2 linked regions of the Alligator mississippiensis genome follow. The protein of the gene in region 1 purifies or fractionates together with the protein of each later gene. This does not show direct contact. Links are inferred from orthologs where the notes say so. Each region holds a gene or a part of one and is shown on either strand. Other genes may lie near its edges.

Evidence for each region.
Region 2: the proteins of RRM1 (region 1) and RRM2B purify together in Homo sapiens (affinity purification with western blotting; 3 studies listed by BioGRID and IntAct, counting the BioPlex papers as one, with this or other methods). This does not show direct contact. The link is inferred for Alligator mississippiensis from reciprocal best matches to the Homo sapiens genes RRM1 and RRM2B.

What each region holds. Positions count from the first base shown.
Region 1 is NC_081824.1:481,574,628-481,581,913, forward strand, and holds the start of RRM1 (ribonucleoside-diphosphate reductase large subunit), read left to right. Parts: upstream 1-4,202; 5' UTR 4,203-4,293; coding exon 4,294-4,312; intron 4,313-5,052; coding exon 5,053-5,141; intron 5,142-7,098; coding exon 7,099-7,276; intron 7,277-7,286. UniProt on the Homo sapiens protein: Provides the precursors necessary for DNA synthesis. Catalyzes the biosynthesis of deoxyribonucleotides from the corresponding ribonucleotides.
Region 2 is NC_081826.1:37,272,812-37,279,987, forward strand, and holds the start of RRM2B (ribonucleoside-diphosphate reductase subunit M2 B), read left to right. Parts: upstream 1-4,172; 5' UTR 4,173-4,235; coding exon 4,236-4,289; intron 4,290-7,176.

The sequences.
Region 1 (7,286 bases):
TAATTGAGACTGCTACCATCTTCCACAAGGCCCCGCGCAACCATCAGAGAGCCACTGTTGCTGGAACCAAGTTGGGCTTTGAACAGGGATTTAATCATTCAAGTTGGTGAGCTCCATGCTCCTTCCCAATCCTTGCTGAGGCCAGATCTCCGTTGTCCTGGCTTTATTCTGCTTCCCCAGCAAACCTCACAGGGAATATCCGTATCTGAACTTTCTTTAGCTCCAGACTCCCTGCCATACACCACCACTTGCCCATTTAGAGCTAAATCCAGAGCAATTCATGCATTTAATTAGCTGATGCAACCGCTCTGCCTTGCACATGTGTATTTCTCTGGCATGTCAGGAGCTCTGCAAGTATTTTGTGGGAGTTTGTATCTAGATCCTCATACAACCCATCTAAGTCCCAACAAGCAGAAAGTACCCATCTTATCAAGGTCTAGTTTCAGCAGCTTTGCTTAGGAAGGTGAAAGATATAGAAAACAGAACAGATCAACACACAAACTAATGCAGCAGACTTCTCTGAAAAGTCGTGCTTGAGACTGAGATCATATTCCCCCCATAGCAAAGTCTCCTACTAAGCAGACAGCTCCATCTATATCTGAATTACTTGCGTGTCCCCCAGCATTCTTGCAGAAATAAACCTCCTCCACTAGGCTGGGGCTGCTATCTAGGCTGCCTACTCCAGGGGAAAAGTGGAAGTTGGCCCCACAAACCTGTTCTGTGGGAGAAAAAGGAAGTAGAAAGAGACCTTCCCCTTTACTGTCTGTGGTAACTTCCATTTTATGGCATCTTCTGTCGCACGGTGATATTTCTGCAGTCACACAAGGCCCAAATCCTGGTAGGTGCCACTGAGGTTCATGGGTCTGCTGAAGTGACTGAGGCAAGATCAAAATCAAGGCAAGCAGGATCTGACCCCTAAAAGTAGTCTGGGTCTGATTGTCCTGTACCAGCCCACACCTTGAGAAGTCATTTATGCCTGGGCAAAGCGATGCAAAGACGAGTATAATGCCTTACATGCACTTTCCACAGAGATAAAGTGCTCTGATTTCCACAGTGGAATCGGGTCATTCTGAACAGATCCGCTGTGCTGCTGAAGCGCTGCGCTGAGCAGGGAGGGAGGTGAACCTACGCTTCCTTGAATCGAGGCCTCAATAACCAGGTGGCAAAATACCGGACCCTACGTCTCTATTTCTTTCTTGCTCAGATCTTACAAAGTGCTGGCTACTTATAACTTCCATTCTTCATCCCTCACATGGGAGAGGGAAAGGCCTGGGACAGTCCCTGCTCCAAGGACTTCAACTTTTGTATGACAAAAATGGGGTCCGTATCTTCATCTTTGTGTGCTTTGGCGTTTTCGTCCATTCAGGAGCTCTTGGCCGTCACGGATGTTACCAGGGATCGCTATGTGGTCGAGTCCCCTTCGAGGACTGTTTGCATGGGAACCCAGGTCTCCCCTGTCCTAGGGCTTAAGTCATCTCCACCTTGCTTTTCTCTGGCCCAAGAAATCTGGAATTTCTTTTTTGCAAAGCAGCTCAGCCTGATCAGGAAAAGCAGTATATACAACAGGATGAGATAGGAAGCAGAGGAGGGTAGCATAAAGCACACAGGGACATCAACGAGGCAGAACATGACAACAAAAATGCAGAGCTAGAAAGGTCCTCAAGAGAGTATCCAGTCCAGGCCCCTACACTAGATCCAGTAGATCTAGGCATACATTGGCTGGGATACTGGGGTGTACACTGCTTAGCATGCACAAGTGGTTGGGTCCTTTGTTCCTATCTTCTTCGGAAAGGAAAAGTACTAGCAGCAGCATGTCCCCTAGCAGCCGGTTAGGGCGCTGGTTGGTTTCTGATTCAATTGAAAACCGCCAAGCCCTGGCTCACTAGCACCACAAGCATCTTTGAAGATCCCCAACTCACTCCTGTTCAGTGTGCAAGAACTAACAGGAAGCCTGGTGTGAGACTGTAGGCCTCACAGCACACTCATATTAACGATGTGACATGGGGATTTTTTGGAACCAGAATGGGTTTCAGGCTCTGATAGTTGCAATGCTGTGAGCACTAAGCTTGCGGAGGAAAGGACACAGTATTCAGTCAGCTGAAGCCCACACTGTGTTCGTAGATCTTCCCCTTCCAGCTCCTTTGCACTGTGTTTGACTGGGTCTTCTTTGAAGGTCTTTACAGTAACACATGAGGATGTTTTATTTTACAGCTTACGGGTTAAACCGTGGCAGAGGAAACCCAGCCTCTCTCCTGAGGTGCGACCATGCTCGGAACAGAACGATCAAGATCAAAAAGACCTCGATGATTTTGGAAAGAAACGAAGCAACAAAGACGAGAACTTCCTCTGCAGAGCTGCAGCGTTACCTCGCATCTCGGAGGTGGAGGGCAGGCTGCGCAAGCACGTTCCCACAGTTATTTCCAAGCTGGCTTCCACCGTGCAGTTTGCTGCGTCCACATCGGTCCTTCCTGATTGCCAAACCTGAAGGCACACCAAGGGCTTTTGGTCACCAGGCTCTTTCTGATGGCCGAAAGGATGCATTTTGACGTATATAGCACTTTGCACCCCAAAGACAGCGTGCTTGCTGTGAGGTTTAAATGGCGACAGAGTCACTGCTGTAAAAAGCATGCTCCTTCCGTGTCTACCACTAGCTCCCTTTTCTCCCCGAGATCAGTCCCAGCCGCTTGTCCACCATTTTAAGGCCTTTCACGACCCATCTCCGACTTAATCCTCCCATCTAACAGCGCTATTGAGGCACCGATCCTTGTCTCCCCTTCGTCATCCACCTCAGCCCTGACTCTGCATTTGTCAAATGTGCCAGCAAGTCACTTGGCACTGTTTTCCCAAGCTACCTAAGCGAGGGAAGATTCGCTTAGATATGAAGAAGTTTTTCTAATATCTTCATATCTAAACTTCCTCAATAGGAGGGTGGTGAAGTACTGGAACAGGGTCGATATCCATCCGTCGAGGTTTTTAAGACCTGGGTAGACAAAGCCTTGGCTGGGAAGATGTATTTAGCGGCGGTCCTACTCTTGAGCAAGGGGTTGGACTGGAGATGCCTCTGAGGAAGGTTTAAAAACACCCTGACACGTTGTTTGGGATGATGTAATTGGGGCTGGTCCTGCTCTGAACAGGGTGTTGCACTCGATGTCTATTGCCCTCATTGCCTACGAGACGTTTGGGAGCAACCGCGTGATGTTCGCGACCTCCTCGGTTGCACGCGCCTCCGTTCGCCGCATCCGCCCCGGCTTCTTGTCGCGATAGCAAGCGCTTTAGAAGAAAGACCACGTCTCGTCCGGGAGGAGAGCGGCGCTTCCCGCGCGCAGCCCCTTCGCGTCTCCGCGGTCTCTGGGTGCCGCCGGCCGCTGTTACGTAATAACGGCGCTACTTTTTTTTTGGGAGGGAAATTGCGGGACGGACGCTGTCGAGTCCTCGGGTGCCATCTGCTGGAGAAACGGAAAGAAAACGTCAGGCGAGCGATGGATTCGGTCGCACCCGGCAAGGAAAGAAACTTCTTTATGACGTCCTGCCGGTGTGCGGGGGGGGGGGGGGGGGGGGGGGGGCTGCGCGTGCTTATGGCGCTTCGCAAAAGAAAGGTGACCGCGTCCCGGCCACCACGGTGGACAGTGTCCTGCGTCACATGTGCTCACCACAGGGGGGGGGGTGTCTCCCTCCCCCACCATGAACCCCTGCCCCCCCACATACTTCCCCTCCTCCACTGGGGCACCCCCCCACCCCCATCCCCCCTGGAAATTGCCCCCCCACTCCCCCCTCAAGGTCTCTGCCCCTCCCCCCAACCCCAGGTAAGCCCCCCCCCACATACCTCCCCTCCCCCCCTCAGAAATAACCCCCCCATTCACCCTTCCCCCTCAAGGTCACTGCCCCTCCCCCCACCATAGAGACCCCCCCCCCCTTCCGGGAATCCCCCTCCCCCACATACCTCCCCTCAGAAATTGTCCCCCCATCACCCTTCAGCGGCTGTGGCCCCGCCCCGCCTCTTGGCCCCTCCCCCCGGCGCGGCCCGCTCTCCCCTCAGAGGCGGGCTCGCGGCCGCCATCTTGGAAACGGGCACGCGGCCTGCCGGGCTGCCCCCGGGGCGGGGCCGTGCGAGAGAGTATTGATAGGGCAATGGGGACGGGGAGGGGGGGGCGCTGCCCGCTTCCAAGATGGCGGCGGCCGCGTCAGGGAAGGGGCGGGGCGAGGCGCGCTACGGCGGCGGGGCGGGGTCAGCGCGGCTTGGCGGGAGCGGGAACCGCTCAGACCCGCGCACCCGGCCCGGCCTGAGACGCCGCCATGCACGTCATCAAGCGAGGTGCGCCCCCTCCCCCCCCCGCTAGACCCTGGGGGGGGGGGGGGGCGAGTGGGGCAGCCCGGGTCCCTGGGGGGCTGGGGGTGAATGGGGTGGGGGGTATCCCAGGGGGTTAACGGGGGTTGTGGGGGGTTCATGGGGGTTGGGGTGGGTGTCCTGATGGGGTCTGGGGGGAGGGGTATCCCAGGGGGTTAACGGGGGTTGTCCTGGGGGCTTAACAGGGGGTTGGGGGTGTCTTGGGGGGCTGATGGGGGTGGGGGTGCTGTCCTGATGGGGTCTGGGGGTGTCTTGGGGGGCTGATGGGGGTGGGGGGCTGTCCTGATGGGGTCTGGGGGTGTCTTGGGGGGCTGATGGGGGTGGGGGGCTGTCCTGATGGGGTCTGGGGGTGTCTTGGGGGGCTGATGGGGGTGGGGGGTTGTCCTGATGGGGTCTGGGGGTGTCTTGGGGGGCTGATGGGGGTGGGGGGCTGTCCTGATGGGGTCTGGGGGTGTCTTGGGGGGCTGATGGGGGTTGGGGTGCTGTCCTGATGGGGTCTGGGGGTGTCTTGGGGGGTTGATGGGGGTGGGGGGCAGTGTCTGGGGTGGGGGGGGGAGTTGTGGGGTGCCAGGGCATTGGACTGGTTCCAGGTAGTTGATGGGGTGGGGGGCACTGGGGTGGGGGGGTGTCACGCCGTGCTGCATTCGGAGCAGCGTGTGCTAGCGCCCGTCTGGGCGCGTGTCTGTCTCTTCCCCGGCGCCGCGCAGATGGACGCCACGAGCGCGTCATGTTCGACAAGATCACGTCCCGCATCCAGAAGCTCTGCTACGGGCTCAACGCCGACTTCGTCGATCCTGTGAGTCTGCTGGTCGTACCCCTCCCTCCATCCCTCCCTCCCGCGGTTGTTATAGACAATAATTTGCTGTTAGAAATTTGCCCCCTGGCTTTGCCTCGGTTAGCCTGCATGGAAATGGGTGGAAAGCACCTTATAAGCGACCGCGGTGCTGTGCCAGATTTGGGGGATCTTGTCGCGGTGCCTCGTGCCTGTCCGCCACATCTAACTGTTCGTCTCTAGAGCGCTGATCCTCAACCAGGACGCTGGGCCGTGACACGCTGGGTTAGCACGGCAGACACGACTCCCAAAATCACCCGGGAGATTTCAAACAGGAATCCGTAGCGTGAAAAACATCCCGCCCTGTTGTGGGCTTGCTGAGCTCTTTGCAACAGGAGAATCGCCCTTGTTTTTTGTCTGTAGTCAAAAACGACAAAGGAAAATGAAGAGCTGCCCTTTTCTGAGGGGTCTGAAAACATTTAGGACCAACTATTCTAATGGAAATAGGGGTCCAGAAAATGCCACCCCGAGGGTACCAGTGACAGATGTCACCTGGTTAAGGCAACCACCTTGTCCTTTCTTTCCTTTCGTAGCCCAATCCTTCCACATGTTTGCGTTTTGGCTTGTTCTCCTCCATAGGTACAAAGTCTGAGAGGATACATCTATGTTTCCCTGCTATAAATTCCTTCTCGTGGGTCCCTCAGATGCGGCTTGAAGTTTCTGGTGCTAAAAAGCAGAAAAACAAGTTCCCTGCTACTCCATTTCAAATGTCTTATTTCCGTTTGTTAAAATGGTGTAACGAGTGCTTTAACCTTTAAAAATGTGTTTTTAAACTCCTGCCGCATTTGCCTCCGTGAATATGTGGAAGAGAAGCCCTTGAATTCTGTTATTAAAGTAAAAGGTATACCCTTTTTTTCCCCCCGAACTGAACCACCCTCTTATTAAGATATGTGCTCTGTTCTGAGCAGTTTGACACTGAAAAGACACTGACCTGATTCGGCAAAGTGCTCTGCCCTGTACCTGTGAGATCTGTGGGACCGTGCGAGCCCTCCCACGTGGAGCAAATTGCAGAATTAGAGGCCCCAGATCAGAGTCTTTTTGGGCCATAAAGGTCTTGTCTTTATGTGCATCTGTAAAGCACCATCATAGTAGCGGTGCTGTAGTAGCAGTGAGGGGATAATGTTCTTCAGCTTTATTGAACAAAGCTTTGCAAAGAGGACAGAGCCTCATTGACTCCTTTGTACATACAGCCCAGGAAACAGCTGTGTGCAGAGGTGAGCTGACTTGATTGCAGTCGTGCAGCAACTTGTTGGCAAAGCTGGGAATTGGGAGTCGAAGTCTCCGGACTTCTGGCCTGGTGTCCATATGACTATTAATAATACTGAAATTAATTTTCCGTGACTTTTTTATTCTGAGGTAGCTCTGAAGTTCTTTGTCCTGAACCATGGTCCTGTTAGGTTGGGTTTGGGACAAACTACAGCAGAAGAATACCTGTGCCTCAAAGAACTTGCAGTCTAATTCAGGGTTTGAAAATGCCAGCCTGTCCTACCCAGGGCAAGTGAGCATTTCAAACCTGCAGAGGACAATTCTTGCACTAGATCACACTCGTATTCGACCTGATTCTGAATCCTGTCTCATAAGAACATACATAGTGCCATACTGGGTCAGACCACAGGGTCCACCTAGCTCACTATCCTGTGTCTCACCGTGACTAAGAGTGGACGCTAAGGGAAAGGGTATTTAGGCTGATTCTTTCCAGACTGATCTGTCCCCTGCCTCTTTCCCCCTACAGATTCCAGCATTCAGAGAAAGGGTTGCAGCTTTAAATATTGTACTTAATACCCTCTATCTAGGATGCTGGTCTTGGATAGTATCCACCACCAGCTGCCTTGGAAGAAAACACTCTAAAGATGTTTGTGTGTCTAAACTCTAAAGATGTTTTTATTTCTGTTGTTAACCTCCACATTTCTGATTTCCCCAGGCTCAGATCACCATGAAAGTGATCCAAGGTCTTTACAGCGGTGTTACCACAGTAGAGCTGGATACACTGGCTGCGGAGACGGCTGCGACCCTGACTACCAAACACCCCGACTATGCCATCCTGGCAGCAAGGATCGCAGTCTCCAACTTGCACAAAGAAACCAAGAAAGTGTTTAGTGGTGAGTGCAT
Region 2 (7,176 bases), on another chromosome or scaffold:
CCCCAGAACAGGAATTGCAGTAGTGGTACAAGGTTTGCTGCACTGTTAACTGCTAATTTCTGACATTTGTGGGAGGATGGGCAAGGACAACTCTACCTATGGGATGAAAGTGTAGGTCATTTGCCATATCCATTCAGTGCTTAGTTCCTTTTCATTTGAAGCATGTGTTCATATACCATCAGTCTTGGTCCCTATAGTGGCACTGGGCTAGCTAGCCTTGTGTACTGTATAAGCTGCAGTATTAGACTGAAAAAATGTATACATTACACGTGTAAATTGTCTTTTTTACAATCCAACAAGATTTCCATGTATCAGTGTTAGAAGCATCATATATGATACATAAAATATGGCTTGCAGAGGTTAACATTTTCAAGGTATTGCCTACATAGAAAACACCCAACTACACTATTATCAACACTTATTTTTCATGGTACACTTAGGAGAGATGTACCACAATGTTTAAGATAGTAGGTGGTGCATTGGCATGTTCCATTAAGTTGCTCTTACACTCTGGAAAGTGAGCACAAGCAAGTAGCTTATTGTCAGGGTTAATAAGGAGTCTGTGAGTCTTGCTTTAAGTGTTGTTCTCAAAATGTGGGTCACAGACCTTGTTCTTTATGGGGCCCAAGAAGAAACCTTTGGAAAGTTAGGTGGTGAGGAACTGGGGCTCAGAGGGAGAATTTACCCAGGGAAGGGTCTGTTATGAAGAAGATAACCTCACAGATATTGGCTTAACCACTTAAGTCATTTGCAGAAAAAGCTAACAGCTGTCTTCAGTAGCTGGGCAAAGTAATATGCATGATATACTATTATCCATTTGACCCATTTACTTCCAGCTGCAAAACACCAGCCTCACTCTCCTAGTAGATAGATGCTTGTTAGATTCCTGCAGTATGTGAAGTAGAGGAGCTTAGGGGCACATGGTTTCAGTCAGAAAACTTATTTTGACTTGAACAGGGAGAAAGTGGTTCCACATTTCAGAATAGGTGTATCCTCTAGTGCTGCACTGCCACTTCTGCTGCTCTTGTGTACACGTCAGTCACATGACACATGCTTGAGGTGGTGAAGATTTCTATTACCTGGCACTGGAGAGGCAGGTCAGGAGCATTTTGGCAGCAGTGAGATTGGGAAGCATTTTCTGGCTATTTTCTATCTTGTTCTCCTGCATTGACCCTCCCCCCTGCTTCCAAGATCATCTCTTGTACCTTTAAAGATTAGTTTAGGCTCAACCCTGTTGACTCAGCTCCCTAGATTGTTTATAAGCTTTAAACTAACATTGCTGGTTGGTTGTTTTTCTCATTGCTGTATCTTATGTTTGAGTGTGCGTGGCAGCCTGGACTTTACCCAGTCATTTTATTCAGTGTTTGAACTTTGGGTCTGCCTGGTTCATGGTCATTTTGGCTAGTTAGAAATGTTACTCGGCACCTTTTCTGTATCATGGTGACTATATTCTGGCCACATATATCTTTGCAAGGCCTTTGATACTGTTTCTCATGAAATTCTCTCAACCAAGGAGGGTACGGGCCTAGACCAGGCTACAGTGAGGTGGGTTGGCAACTGGCTCAGTGACCAACCCCAGTGAGTTGTAATTGATGGGGTGGCCTCACCCTGGAGGGCTGTCGCCAGTGGTGTCCCCCAATGCTTGGGCCTGTGCTCGTTAACATTTTTATCAATGACCTAGATGAGGGAGTGGAAAGCATAATGATTGAGTTTGTGGATGACACCAAGCTGTGGGGACATGCGGGCACATCTGAAGACAGGGCAAGGCTCCACGACAACCTTGGCAGGCTGGTCCTATGGGCTGAATGCAATCGGATGAGGTTCAATAGGGACAAGTACCAGCTCCTTCATATGGTGAAGGTTCTTCCTACCTGGATCTATACGATGGGTGGTGGCCCACTGGCTGGCACGGCATCCGAAAGGGACCTGGGGGTGACAATTGACCAGAAGCTGAATGAGCCATAAGTGCGATCAAGTGGCCAACAGAGCAAATAGAACTCTGGCGTGCATCAGCTGATGTGTTGCCGGTAGATCCAGAGGGGGGCTCCTCCCCCTCTACTTGGCATTGGTAAGACCACAGCTGGAGTACTGTCTAGTTCTGGGCACCACACTTCAAGATGGATATGGATAAGCTCAAAAGGGTGCAGAGAAGGGCCACCTGCAGGATCATGGGCCTGGGGAGGGGGCGGGGGATAGGCCCTATGAGGAGAGACTGAGATTTGGGTTTGTTCAGTCTGAGTAAAAGAAGACTGAGGGGTGACTTCATAGCCGCCTACAAGTATGTCAGGGGTGAACACTAGGATCTAGGGGGTGGAACTATTCAGAAAGGGAGTCCTTGGGAAGACACGGTCCAATAAGCACAAGCTAGTCAAGGAAAACTTTTGGCTAGACATAAGGAAAAACTATTTTCTGTCCGGGTAACTAGAATCTGGAACAGACTTCCAGCAGAGGTGGTGCAGTCACCATCCCTGCTGGTGTTCAAAAGGAGGCTGGACAACCACCTTGTTGAGCTCATTTGAGTCCAATTACCTCCCGCTCGTGGCAGGGGACCTGACTTGCTCTTACAGGTCCCTTCTGGTCCTTCTATTCTATGATTCTATCTGTTGAGAGATGGGGGAGGATTTGTATTAACACATTTGTGCTGGTATAAAAACATTGTGCACTGGCATAATTTCAGCAAAGGCTCTTGATGCAAGTTGCAATTTATACCAGAGCAGCATATTCATGTGAGGGGTTCAAATTGGGTCTGCATAAAACCTGACTGTAGGCAAGCCCAAATTGAAAAGGCAGGGAAAATGTACAGCTTATAGAAGCAAATATTCTGTACCTTCTTACAGATATGCTACATATGCTCTTATGGCTGCATTGGTTCAGGAAGAAGTCAGGTAACAGAACTACTTGTACCATCTTCCAGTTGTTCTCTAAAGGAATGCTCCATCTCCTCTGCCCTCACAGCCACAGACCAGCTCTTAAGCCATAAGAGCTCCCTTCTGCTATATGCATGTCTAGCGTATCTATGACTGCTGTGCTTAATTGCTCTGAAGTAGGGGTGTCAAGGCTGCAGCACAGGCTGGATTCAGCCTATGGAATTGCATCATCTGGCCCCTCCTGCAGGCCCTGGGTCTTGATTTGACCTAGGCTGCCTCCTTGCACAGGGTGCAGGACCCATAGCACATCTCTACATGGGCCCAGTCTGCAACCCCTGGCAGCATGTGGGGTCCACATGTCCTAGATGGGCTGGGGTGGGTGCTGTGTGCACTGGATCTGGCCCCAGGGAGAGGTGGAAATCTGTGAGCCTATGCTTCTGGCCTTCTGCCCTTGGGTCCAGATGAGTTTGATACCCCTGCTGCAAATGCAGTTACAGGACAGTGTCTTTGTCTCTTAAATTTCTGCTGAGGCAAAATCAGTGCAGATTTCATGCAGCTACATAGCCACCGAGGAACTCTGGGTGCTGCTCAGAAGCAGCTTAGACATCCTTTCGGGCTCTCGGTTGGAAAAAGCCCAGGTCTTGGAGCTCGACCTGTGCTTGCGTGCACACAGCAGGTCCCGTGTAAGGGACAGGAAAGGAGGGCAGCTTTCAAACGTGAGACGTGGCAGTCTCTCAGAGCAATGGCCCATACCGACCCGAGCCGCGGCAGACCTAGGTCCTAGAGGGGGAGCATCCAGCCAGAGGCGCTCCAGCACGCCTGCTGAAGCCCTGCCCCGTGGGCCGAGGCTGGCCCGTGCCGCGCTCTCCAGCGACCGGGAACCAGGGCAGCGGGGAGCAGCGGCAATTAATGCTGCCGCACTGCCGAGGGCCCTGGGGCAGGTTGGGGTGGGGGCAGGTCGCCCCGCGCAGGGCCAGGTCCCCTCCCCTCTCACAGCCTGGTGGGCGCGGGGCCAAGTGCTACCACGTGGCTGCCTTGGGGCCCGCGTGTCCCGGGCACTGCCCCCCCGCTACTCGACGCGCTCCCTGGCATCGGCCGTGAAGGCGGCGCGCGTGGCAGCGGTGCAGCCTACTCTGTCCTGCCGGGCTCAGCCTGGCGCGGGACCGCCCCCGCCCCGGGGCCCGGAGCCGGCTGGGGGCGGGGCTGCGCCGCGCCAGGCACAAGCGCGAGCTGGCTCCCAAGCCCCACCCTCGGCGCATGCGCTCTCGAGCCGCCGGAGGCATGCGCCTCCTGGGGCGGGGCGCGGGGCAGGCTGGGAGCGGGGCGCGACGGGGCGGGGCCGGCTCCGACCCAAGGCGGCTCCGTGCTATGGGCTCGCACTGCGGCCCCGCGCCGCTGCCGGGAGCCGAGGGGCCCGACGGGGTGAGCGCGCGCGGGGGGGTCGGGCCGCGTCCTGGAGGGGGGCGGCAAGGGGCCTCCCGAGGTCGGGCTGGGGAGCAGAGCTCCGCGGGGCAGCGGCTCTGAGCCGCCCGCTGTCCAGGCCGCCGCGCGGGGAGCGCCCTCACGGGGGGCCCGGCCGGCCCCGAAACCGCGGGCGGGCGGGCGGGCTCGGGCGCACGGCTTGGGTCGTTGGGGGGGGGGGAGCCGGGGTAATAGCCCGGTTTTGCACAACAAGGGATTCACTGGCGCTCTGATCCGTAGATACCGTTTCCTCGTCGCCTTCCCCGGCCCCTTGCACGGCTACGTCAGCAGGTAGAAACATCCGAGTCGCCGCAGCGATTAAGGGATTAAGAAGAGACCGGGGCGGGCACCCTCATGGTGGCAGATTGCTGTCGTCCATTCATAGACAGTCGGGCTGGAAGGGACCTCGCGAGATCATCGGATCCAGCCCCCTGTGCCAGGGGCAGGAAGTCAGCTGGGGTCAAAGGATCCCAGCATGATGAGAAGCACCCAAGTGTTTCTTAAAAGTGTCCAGAACAGGTGCTTGCACCACTTTTGGGGGCTCAGACAGTGAAGTTTTTCCTCATGTCCAGCCTAAAATGGTCTTCCAGCAGTTTGTGACCTCCTTGTCCCTTGGGGTGCCCTGGTGAACAGACGTTCTCCCAGATCCCTTATGTACTTATAGGCTGCCACCAAGTCCCTCCTGAGCCTTTGCTTCTCCAGGTTGAAGAGTCCCATGCCTCTTGGCCTCTTCTCATAAGGCCTGACATTCTTGTCTTCTGGATTCAAGCTTTTCCATGGCTCCCAGAGGTAGATTGCCCTCCCAGCTCTGGGCTTATACAGTGCAAACTCAGCCCTTTTTGGGTCATACGGTTCATTTAATTCCCTTCTGAGTCATCTGCATCTCGTCTTTCCTTAAAGCAGCAGGAGCCCCAAGCTCCCTACGTACAGATAAATGTTTAATGTACAAAATATTACCATAAAAGTTCAGAGTAGTCGCTATATACGAATTACATGATTATGCAGAGTAAAATAATCAAAGGTTTTTCATGTACACTGTGCTCATCTACAAGATGGAAAATAATTCTGGAAAACACTAATTGGGCACTGGGTGCTTTTACACATGCAATGAGGCTGCTCCAACGCATTGTAATTACAGCACCTTGGATGAGGAAACACCTTGAGGGGAGGGAACTCCAAGAAATTCTCCCCCCAGGACACAGTGGGTACTGGGCTGTTTTTGCATGTTGATGTAGCCCTGCAAGGTGCCTGGGGAAGGAGTTGAGGAATGGTATATGTGGATCAGGGCTCCAGTGAATCCCTTGTGCAAAACCAGATTTATTTGCATGCTGACCAGGGGCACCTTGTAAACACCTCTGAGGACCAGCAAATGGGAACCAGCGCAAATAGGATAGGTTCTAATGTAAGGAGAATCAAACTAAAGTTGTGGTCCTCTGGTGTTTTAGCCCAACTAAATTGTTTTCTTCAATCAGTATTTCTCATAGAAATGTATCGATTTACACTGGAAAACAATAGGATTTTGTCAAGCAGAGCTAAGTATTTTATAAGGAAGGGTATTAGACGGAAAGAAATTAGGCTAAAAAAAACTCCAATTGAAAGTAATCAGGAGGGATACCTTTTTTACAGATTTCTAAATGAACCAAGATGAGATATCAAAGCCATTGTTCTCGTTTATGTGCATAGCTTTTAGCCTGATTTGTTTTATGCACTTAATTATTTTAGAACTTTTGGTTTTATCCCTTCTACATTGCATAAGACAAAATGAGTGCCAAAGCATACCAAGTGCACTCCAAGCTAGTGGTTTACAAATGGGGTGTTAGTGCATTCAGAAAAGTTAGAGGGGAACCTTGAGTGTGTAACGGTTGAGAAGCCCTTGTTCTGTGCCGGGGTCTGCAGCCTTTCTCCTGCTCTAGGTGTGCCAAACCTTCCTATTAAGCTATTAAAAATGTCTTTGAATTTTTTGAGGAGTTTTTGCCTTGTCATTGAATTATACATAAAATCTTAGTGTGTTGATTAAACAATCGTCCTAGACCATTTTCTCCTGAATTTCTTTTCATTCTATATCTGCTGCTACAATAAACATGTCTGTTGTTCTGTGGTACTGGTGTCTGTGAGATTTGATTTTTTTTTTTTTTTTTTCAGGGAAAAAATATTAAGTTTCATGTATGGATACAATTGGGTATATAGTCTAGTTGTTGGTGTCTTCCAGCTCCCATTCCTAAGCTTTTTCTTCCCACTCGCATACATTTAATCTGGAAATATATTGATGCTTATGTTGATTGGGGCATCCTTCTGCAGCTGTTCTCAAGTACACTGGAAACTGAGGCCTCTAGAGCAGCTGGAGCGGGACACTCTGACATGGTCTCAGTATTGCATTTCTGGGTTTGGATGACCTGAGGTGGAACACACACATGTCTGCAGTCCACTAACTCCTCTTTGGAGTGGCCTGGACATGCAGCACTCCCAGAAGGCAGTTGGGTCCAAGAGCTCTGCAGGGGTGTGTGACTAGGCAGAGGATGGGTGGGGGTGACTGCTGCAGTGTCTGTGACTCCAGATGTATGAATTTCCCAGGTCTTGGTATAAGAAGGGCTATATATGGCAGCATTTAAAGCAAGGTGAAACCTGGTCAAGGGAACCCGAACCCAAGACTGGTGGAGGGACATACAGATGGATGAACCCAAATGTGAGGCAGTGCACTGTGGTATGGCAATGGGAGGACCACTAAACGTGGAGCAATTAGGAGTGTATCGGCACAGGCTTAAAGCAAACAAATCCCTGCAAAGTACTGCTTTTTTTACGAATAGGAGTATTTATTGCATCTGAGATGCCAAATTAATTCATTTTGAAC